3 linked regions of the Saccharomyces cerevisiae S288C genome follow. The gene in region 2 interacts genetically with the main gene of each other region. Each region holds a gene or a part of one and is shown on either strand. Other genes may lie near its edges.

Region 1 (3,164 bases), on a different chromosome or scaffold from region 2:
AGCCCAGTGGATGTGACGAAGATCATGAGTGTATTACTACAGCAAGATAATAAGATAATTGCATCCAAACTCTTGAAGAGACTTTTTACTATCGATGATGACTCTCTTCGTCATCAGGCTATCAAACTACACGGTTACACCTGTTTTAGCAAAATGCTTAAATTGTTTATCACGGAACAACCTCAGGTAGATGGAAAAGGAAACGAGACTGAAGAAGATGATATAAAGTTTATAAAGGGAATTTTAGATTTTTTGTTGGAATTACCAAAGACAACTCGAAACGGTATTGAGTCGTCACAAATTGATAATGTAGTAAAAACTCTCCCTGCAAAGTTTCCATTTTTAAAGCCAAACTGCGATGAGTTATTGGAGAAATGGTCGAAATTTGAAACATATAAAAGGATAACGAAGAAAGACATAAACGTCGCAGCCAGCAAAATGATAGATTTGAGAAGGGTGAGATTACCTCCAGGCTGGGAGATCATTCACGAAAACGGTCGCCCATTGTATTATAATGCAGAACAGAAAACGAAACTACACTATCCACCTTCGGGATCATCTAAGGTCTTTAGTTCAAGGTCAAATACACAAGTAAATTCTCCGAGTAGCAGTGGAATACCAAAAACGCCTGGCGCTTTAGACTCTAAGAAACATAAGCTGAGTGACGAAGAATATGAGAGGAAGAAACAAAAAAGACTGGAATACGAAAGAATTGCGCTAGAAAGAGCCAAACAAGAAGAATTGGAAAGCCTGAAGCAAAAGCTAAAGCTTGAGAATGAAAGAAAAAGCGTTTTGGAGGATATTATAGCGGAGGCCAACAAACAGAAGGAGTTACAAAAGGAAGAGGCCAAAAAACTAGTGGAAGCAAAAGAGGCTAAGCGGTTGAAAAGAAAAACGGTCTCCCAGTCCCAAAGACTAGAGCACAACTGGAATAAATTCTTTGCATCTTTTGTACCCAACTTAATAAAAAAAAACCCACAAAGTAAACAATTTGATCATGAAAACATTAAACAATGTGCTAAAGACATCGTGAAAATCCTAACTACAAAGGAACTTAAAAAAGATTCTTCAAGAGCGCCGCCTGATGACTTAACCAAAGGAAAAAGGCATAAAGTTAAAGAATTCATAAATTCATACATGGATAAGATTATCCTCAAGAAGAAGCAAAAAAAGGCGTTGGCATTATCATCAGCATCAACAAGGATGTCTTCTCCTCCACCTTCAACATCATCATAATTAACCAGACATGCATATTTGGGGCTTGTTTCACGTTTTCTGTCCCAAAGGAAGTCTTGTACTTTAATTGTAATTGCGATTTGTAATAAGTAATTTTTTTTGTCTTTACCGTTTATTTCTTTATACATTTTTGGTGCATATATTTAAATATCCGCATTAGTGGGCTATCAGTAGCACTGTAATGATAGGTAATGTGACACATCTTCTCGACAGATATTATTCTTGAAAAAATCGTGCGTTTCAAGTGTCTTTATTTTTTTGCTGTCAATAGAAGTGTTGAAATGACTTTGAAACGTAATTACCGCATCGGGAAATTTACATGTTAACTGCAATGAAAACAAGGAATATACGGGGAACATATAAAGGGTCAGCGTCGTTGACTAGTCTGTCATTTATATTGTGCTTGTACATAGGACTACAAAAATTCAAAGAATGACGACAAGAAACATGACTACTTTAGCATCAAGTATTGAGCATAAAACAAAACATCTAGCCGCGCCCTTCGAGAACGATGAGAACCCTTGGATGAAAAAATACTGTTGCCAATGCAAATCATGTAAAATGAGTGTGCCTGTCCAACCTTGGCTGCCAAGGTTTTTTGTTTTTGGAATCTTGTGCCCCGTTTTCTGGTTGGTGAATCTTTTAGCCTGGTGGTTCTTACAGTATTGGCAACCACATGAATTGGAATTCCACGACTTGCAAGAAGACGAATACCCAGGATTTTATGAATATGAAGCCATAACTAAAAGAACGGTGATACCCATAAAGGAAGAAGTCCTCCAAGAGATTCGCGTCATGCAGAATTTCAGTGATAGCAACAGCGAAGAATATTACGAGAGCAAAGACGGTATGCCGTCGTCTTTCCTAAACGTGAACACGGAACAAGTCGAGGACGAGAATGACACCTTGAAAAAATATCGTTACGCGTTTTTGAAGAAGGTAGCCCACGATGTGCTGGAGTCGCACGATTTATTACGTAAGACCTTCCGCGACTGGAATTTACGGTCTTTGCTTGGCCTCCTCATCGATTCTATACTCATAATATTTGTAGTTCTCCTATGTAAGAAAAGCCGTTAGGTAGATCTAAAGACAGAAAATGATATCAGCCTCTTTCTTTTCCACAGCCTCCATTTCCCATTTTTGCTGTATCTGCAAGGGTTCCTTTTTCCATTTTTTTTTTTCAAAGTCTTGGCTCCGCCCTTTTCTTTTGTCTATTTTGCCGAGCTTAGGTTATTTATAAACCTGAAAATCCTCGAGAAACAATCCTTATCGAAGGAAGCAGCCATAATAGAACATACTCAAGTGCAAACATTACAAGCTTAAATAAGACAAATGTTACAGAGTATAGTCCTTTCCGTGTGCATGTTTATGTTGCACACAGTCGCTGCCAGTGGACCTCAGTCGTACCAAAAGTTGGATTTCACTAATGTTGGTTTTACAGGCTCCTACGTAGATGTGAATAAGTTTAAAGATATCACCAACAATGAATCGTGTACTTGCGAAGTGGGTGACAGAGTATGGTTTAGTGGTAAGAACGCTCCACTAGCAGACTATTTATCCGTTCATTTCCGTGGACCATTGAAGTTGAAACAATTTGCTTTTTACACATCCCCTGGATTTACCGTCAACAACAGCAGAAGTTCTTCTGATTGGAACCGTCTTGCCTACTATGAGTCCAGTTCCAAAACCGCTGATAACGTTACCTTTCTAAATCATGGAGGTGAAGCTTCCCCTTGTTTAGGAAATGCTTTGTCCTACGCTAGTTCTAACGGTACTGGCAGCGCCAGTGAAGCTACCGTTTTGGCAGATGGCACTTTGATTTCTTCAGATCAAGAATACATAATCTATTCGAATGTCTCATGTCCAAAATCAGGTTATGATAAGGGTTGTGGGGTTTACCGTAGTGGCATTCCAGCTTACTATGGGTA
Region 2 (3,186 bases):
TGAGCAATTTTCTTTCCTGGTCCGTGGTTTGGAAAATTGACCTATCAGGAACGATGCACTTAACCAGCTTGTTGGGCAAATCAGTATACTCTTCATCCCAATCCATTGGCGACATTTTCAAAATCGCCAAAGTAGCAAGGACAGCAAGCATGTCTGAAATAGCATCTCCCACGGTCTGATTAATCAATTCAGAGAAACACTTCAAAGTTCTCAAAGCTAACGTATCACCATTTAACTTGGACTTGGATAATTCAGATTTGATAGTTCGATGAAATTTTTCGCTGAATATAATCGTACCATGTCCATTTGCTTCGAAATAAATGCCAATATCGTACTGAGTGGCAGCTTCATGATGCAAGTGTTTAACACCTGTCTTAGTGCAAGACACGGGACAGTGCAACGTATTTTTTATGTAAGCGGTGGAACTGCCGTTTGCATAGGCAGTTTGCACAACACCAATCTTCAAAGAATGTTCTAGGTGTGCCAATTCTAGTTGTTTAGACAAGAACTTTGCAAACAAAGTGGAAATTTTGTCACCATCCAACAAATGAAATTTTGATCCTGAGTCGACATAGTAGAACACAACCCTGTCTGCGTCACCATCAAAGGAGCAATATAGCGAATCAAACGAGGATGGAGAAAGACCCTTGGGTAATCTCTGGTTAGTCTTCACATAATCCGCACCGCATTCAAAATTCAACAGTTCTGGAACATCGGACCTGTCGTTGATTACCTCAACTTGCTCCGCTGGCACGTCCCAATCTTCGGAGGCCAGTAGTTTTTTCAACTGTGGACCACCGATACCATTGGCTGTGTCTATGAACAATTTTGGGACAGACAGCCTCTTCTCCAGCTGATACGTGGCGAAGAGCTCGTTGAAGGCTCCTATAAAGAACGAATAGTAGTCCTGTTCTGTGGCAACTGGCGCTGTGTCTCCTTCCAGTTTCCGCCTGTTGGACAAATCAGTAATGTAATGCAATTGAGGCGTAGTGACACAGCCTAGGTCCAAAACTTGCGCGTGGAAGACGCTGGCCATGGAGGAAGTCAAGCAGCGCAGCAAGTATGGACTACTTTCCCTAGAGTCTCTCCCAACCACGATGTGAGGCACGACGGTTGTATTCAAATCAATCTTTTCGTGTTCAATCAGCTTGGCCAACTCAACACGAAATTCTTCAAAATTAGTGGCAAAAGAGGCCGCATTGGCCAACTGCATGGCATATGGCTCCCATGTGGCCAAAAGCATCGATCCGTCTGGTTCCACGATCTTGACCCCGTTGTCCTGGTATGGGTTGTGCGACGCCGTGATCATCACCCCCACATACTGACCCTGAAGCTTCAGCGACCTGAGAACCGCCAGTATACCAGTACTGAACATCACCGTATCCAAATTCTTGGCCAGCGTTCTGAATCCGGCCGTACCGTAACTGAACTGCACATTCTTTGTGCGGCACGTGTCATCGTAGAGTTTGCACAATTGCTCGTAATCAACCTTCATCGTCTCTAAGCTTACTGCTGACCTTTGCCTTGGTCCTTGTACTTGTCTCGATTGCTGAAACCATTAACGGTTTTTTGTTCTTACTTAATCTTTTTTTTCCCGACGACGCAAAATGTCAGAAAAGATATAAATAGAGCAACGTTTCCTGCTACATGAAACACGCTGGCATATAGAAGAACTTCAACGAGCGAGGCTCTCTGAACAATCTGCTAATCGTGCAAGTAAGGGTTCTCGTGACAGTTCACCGTGTATAAACAGATAAACAGATAAACAGTCAGATATGCTTAATTTTTAACTGTAGGCTGTGCCGACATGCCATTTTATGCGGCTCACTTCTAACAAAAGTGACCATGACGCACAAGCAAGCAAACAGCCAAGTAAGGAAGCAGACAGCTTCACAGCACACACACACCGTTGTGTACGAAAATCCTCTGCAGAAGAGTGTATATGCCACTCATCCACACTTCCGCAGCGCAGTACGTAATGCGGTATCGTGAAAGCGAAAAAAAAACTAACAGTAGATAAGACAGATAGACAGATAGAGATGGACGAGAAACAGGGGGGGAGAAAAGGGGAAAAGAGAAGGAAAGAAAGACTCATCTATCGCAGATAAGACAATCAACCCTCATGGCGCCTCCAACCACCATCCGCACTAGGGACCAAGCGCTCGCACCGTTAGCAACGCTTGACTCACAAACCAACTGCCGGCTGAAAGAGCTTGTGCAATGGGAGTGCCAATTCAAAGGAGCCGAATACGTCTGCTCGCCTTTTAAGAGGCTTTTTGAACACTGCATTGCACCCGACAAATCAGCCACTAACTACGAGGTCACGGACACATATACCAATAGTTAAAAATTACATATACTCTATATAGCACAGTAGTGTGATAAATAAAAAATTTTGCCAAGACTTTTTTAAACTGCACCCGACAGATCAGGTCTGTGCCTACTATGCACTTATGCCCGGGGTCCCGGGAGGAGAAAAAACGAGGGCTGGGAAATGTCCGTGGACTTTAAACGCTCCGGGTTAGCAGAGTAGCAGGGCTTTCGGCTTTGGAAATTTAGGTGACTTGTTGAAAAAGCAAAATTTGGGCTCAGTAATGCCACTGCAGTGGCTTATCACGCCAGGACTGCGGGAGTGGCGGGGGCAAACACACCCGCGATAAAGAGCGCGATGAATATAAAAGGGGGCCAATGTTACGTCCCGTTATATTGGAGTTCTTCCCATACAAACTTAAGAGTCCAATTAGCTTCATCGCCAATAAAAAAACAAACTAAACCTAATTCTAACAAGCAAAGATGAAGTTAGAAAATACTCTATTTACACTCGGTGCCCTAGGGAGCATCTCTGCTGCTTTGGTCATCCCAAATCTTGAAAATGCCGCCGACCACCACGAACTGATTAACAAGGAAGATCACCACGAGAGACCCAGAAAAGTGGAATTCACTAAGGACGATGATGAGGAGCCATCTGACTCTGAAGATAAAGAACATGGAAAGTTCCATAAGAAGGGCCGCAAGGGCCAAGACAAGGAGTCTCCGGAATTCAACGGTAAACGTGCAAGTGGCTCTCATGGGAGCGCCCACGAGGGAGGAAAGGGCATGAAGCCTAAGCATGAAAGTTCCAATGATGATGATAATGATGATAAGAAGAAGAAGCCTCACCATAAGGGTGGCTGCCACGAAAATAAG
Region 3 (3,405 bases), on a different chromosome or scaffold from region 2:
GTGAAGTGCACAAGAAATCCAGATGCTCCAAAGGGATCTACTGATCCAAAGGAACTATATAACAATGCCCATGTCTACGCCCGTGATTTGAAGTTTGAACCACAGGGCAGACAATCTACCACTTTTGCTGATTGTCCGGTTGTTCCAGCTGATCCTGATATTTTATTAGCTAAGCTAAGGCCTGGTCAAGAAATTTCGTTGAAGGCACATTGCATTTTAGGTATCGGTGGTGATCATGCTAAATTTTCACCAGTTTCCACCGCTTCTTATAGATTATTACCTCAAATCAATATCTTACAGCCAATCAAAGGTGAAAGTGCCAGAAGATTTCAAAAATGTTTTCCCCCAGGTGTTATTGGTATTGATGAAGGTTCAGATGAAGCGTATGTCAAAGATGCTAGGAAGGATACGGTTTCCAGGGAGGTTTTAAGATACGAAGAGTTTGCTGATAAAGTTAAATTAGGAAGAGTGAGGAACCACTTTATTTTCAACGTAGAAAGCGCTGGTGCCATGACACCAGAAGAAATTTTTTTCAAATCCGTCAGGATTTTAAAGAATAAGGCTGAGTATTTGAAAAACTGTCCAATTACCCAATGATCCTACTTTGCATACTAATAAAAAAAACACAGTTTGAGAAAAATATTAAATACTTAACCTCAGGGTCTTTATCTTTGTATAATCTTTTCTTCTAGTATTAGTAGAATTGGCAAATCCTACCAAAAAAATACAAACCCATGAATCGTCATAGATAAGGAAATGTAATAGAATGATATATGTAAATGTAACTCTCTATAAAATAGTGCCGATAACAGTAATATGCATTACCCCTTATGGACTACATATATATACTATTAGACAGAATTGCTAGCATTCTCATTGTTGTCATTAATATTGCCGTCATTTAAAATGGCATTCATGGTTTTATTTAATGGTATTCGTGCAACTATTACAGAGCCATCGTAGCCATCACTATTTACAGGTTCTAGTCTTTCTGGCTCTTCAAAATCTAAATCTGCCAATACAACACATGTTAGTGAAAATAAAGTAAACTGTACAATAAGTATGCTAAATTCGAACATTACTAATCCAAGATTGCCGGAAAAGTTGCTCTTTGGTAGCCGTTCTCCGATCATCTGTAGAAAAAGCCCACCTCTTCTCTCACCCAAAAGTAGACCATCTGAATTGGAAAAGGGTGAGGGAGTATTCTTAGGGCCATCGTCTACTGGCTCGCTACCACTCAGGGGTTCAAAAAAATCAATTGGGAATAGGATTGTTAAGATAATGAAAAGCATATTCAACGATAAGCAACCATGAAATAAAAACTTCCGGATTTGCTTTTTCATGGACACAATAGCGGTATCATCATGGTCTTGTTGCTCAGCTTCACTAGAAGAATTATAAAGCATTTCTGTTCCAAACATTCCGGGAAACCTGATAGATCTTCCGCCTGGAAGTGTTGCAACCCCCGTCGTGTTATTATCTGCACCGAGGGTCGCTAGCCTACGTAACTTGGCATCACTTGGAAAAGGAGAACTTATGAGAGATTGCACTATTGCTCTTGTTATAAGTGTCCAGACGGTACGATCATACTTGATATATTCCAATGATATTAAAACATACCCGAGAAAGCTCAAATTATTCACCAAATTTCTTTGGAAGTTTCTTTTTCGTAGTTCGTATACTCGTTTGTTTCCTATACTTAAATTTCCTTCAGCAGTACTTTCAAAATTATCCATTATTATATTGGCCTTATTGAAAACATAGATTAGTTTGCTTTTGGCCTGCTAATGGATGACAAATAGCGTGCTTAGTATTTTTAGGCTTCCGCAGTTTAGCTTTATTTGATGATACGTCAAGAGTGCGGGATAATGTAGGTTCAAAAGGATCAAATTGTGTTTCGTTATATATGATTTCCTTGCAATAACTATAGAGAAGGAGAACAATATAACCTTGTGCATGAAAGCATCATAGTCTTAAAGAAAAAATTTAAACTAAAATGCAGAATCAATTCTCATGGATTTTTTATATAAAAAGAAGCTAAATAAGTGTTAACTTTAGGGAAAAAATTTTGCCACCTGTCAGAATTGAACTAACGACCTTTGCATTACAAGTGCAACGCTCTACCACTAAGCTAAGGAGGCTTTTACACTGTAGGGTATCCTCCAAGAAGGGACAAAGTGTCTGCATGGAAATTTGCAGCCGACTTCTCTTAATGTCTGTAACACTTAAACTATCATGGAGTGATTTCATTTCAACGATATCCCTAAAAGCGAACCAGAAGTGTTTTAGTTGAATCGTTTATTGGCTAGAACACTCGAATACAACGTATTAAACAAATGAAGAAACAATGACCGTATCATGAATTTCCTTTTATGGGGATTCCTTTTTCTGGTTATACTACTTTTTAAGAATTGGCATTTTCAGCCTTAGATTCCTCACTTTCAAAAGAAGCATGGTCCTTTATGAGACATTGCAATTATGTAACTTTCCGAACTAAATACTGAAATTTTTAATGGAAGCTTGAAAACTATAGAAGCTCTCCGTTTTAAAGGAGAAAGAGGATGATTACAATCCTTTGACTTGAACCGATCCATATATCCTCTCACTACTATTTACTCAAGTCTCCAAACTATGTATACATGTTGATGTGATTATGTGCGTTGCTAAATAATGTAAATTCCTCAAACACGATCTGACCCTGTCAATCTCACTGCTGCACCGTATTTTTGTAATTTTGTTAGCAAACCGTCACCTTGCTTAACTAGCAGATGGTATTGAGCATTTTTGTTGTCTGGCCTGTTGGTCTCTACGATCCCATTAACTCTATCAATGACACAATTTAGTTGCTTATTTGGAATAAACTTACCCAGGTCGTTATCCAAGAACGCAACCGAAACACCAAATGCGCTTGCCATAGATTTCAGCGACAAAGTCTTATATGATTCCAACAATTGTGCGTAGACTTTTCTTCTCATTTCTCTAACAAAGAAATCTGCATGTCTATTCAAATATTTACATGGAATCAAAACATTTGCATATGTTTCCAAAAGATATGGAAAGTAACTGGCATAATCGGACGCGTAAAGGGAAATTGTTAACGACGAGATAGATTGTAGTGCGGCAGTTGTTGAGATTAAAGATAACAATTCAGGTGAATCGATGACTTTGGATTTTAGGTCTGTTCTTTCCAGAGTGAATAAACCTGTGACCGATGCATATGTGGCAATGCTTTCATAGGAAGTTAATTCAATAGAGGTGAAAGTTGCTAGAGAATCGACCAATAACTTTGCCGCTTCCTTAAAGTTTCTTACGGCCAAGCAGTGGATACCATAGTATGTTTTATATCTATTTCTTCTCTCCCAGTCACCACCTTTTTCAATCATAGAATTGACTGCTTCCAACTTC

What was found. Genes that interact genetically often act in the same process or in processes that back each other up.
Region 1: mutations in SOM1 (region 2) and ASG7 together harm fitness more than expected from each alone (negative genetic interaction), as found in Saccharomyces cerevisiae (one large-scale study listed by BioGRID).
Region 3: mutations in SOM1 (region 2) and GLD1 together harm fitness more than expected from each alone (negative genetic interaction), as found in Saccharomyces cerevisiae (one large-scale study listed by BioGRID).

The regions. Positions count from the first base shown.
Region 1 is NC_001142.9:100,299-103,462, reverse strand, and holds ASG7 (Asg7p), read left to right. Parts: upstream 1-1,683; coding exon 1,684-2,313; downstream 2,314-3,164. Other genes in the region: histone methyltransferase SET2, read left to right, coding at 1-1,236; TOH1 (Toh1p), read left to right, coding at 2,569-3,164. UniProt on the Saccharomyces cerevisiae protein: Required for receptor inhibition of inappropriately expressed a-factor receptor (STE3) in MAT a cells. Inhibits signaling by relocalizing the G protein beta-gamma (STE4-STE18) subunit to intracellular membranes.
Region 2 is NC_001137.3:41,561-44,746, reverse strand, and holds SOM1 (Som1p), read left to right. Parts: upstream 1-2,122; coding exon 2,123-2,347; downstream 2,348-3,186. Other genes in the region: phosphoacetylglucosamine mutase PCM1, read right to left, coding at 1-1,495; HHY1 (Hhy1p), read right to left, coding at 1,787-2,095; PRB1 (proteinase B), read left to right, coding at 2,794-3,186. UniProt on the Saccharomyces cerevisiae protein: Non-catalytic component of the mitochondrial inner membrane peptidase (IMP) complex. IMP catalyzes the removal of signal peptides required for the targeting of proteins from the mitochondrial matrix, across the inner membrane, into the inter-membrane space.
Region 3 is NC_001148.4:743,020-746,424, reverse strand, and holds GLD1 (Gld1p), read right to left. Parts: upstream 1,737-3,405; coding exon 852-1,736; downstream 1-851. Other genes in the region: DNA-directed RNA polymerase core subunit RPC40, read left to right, coding at 1-597; proteasome regulatory particle lid subunit RPN7, read right to left, coding at 2,682-3,405.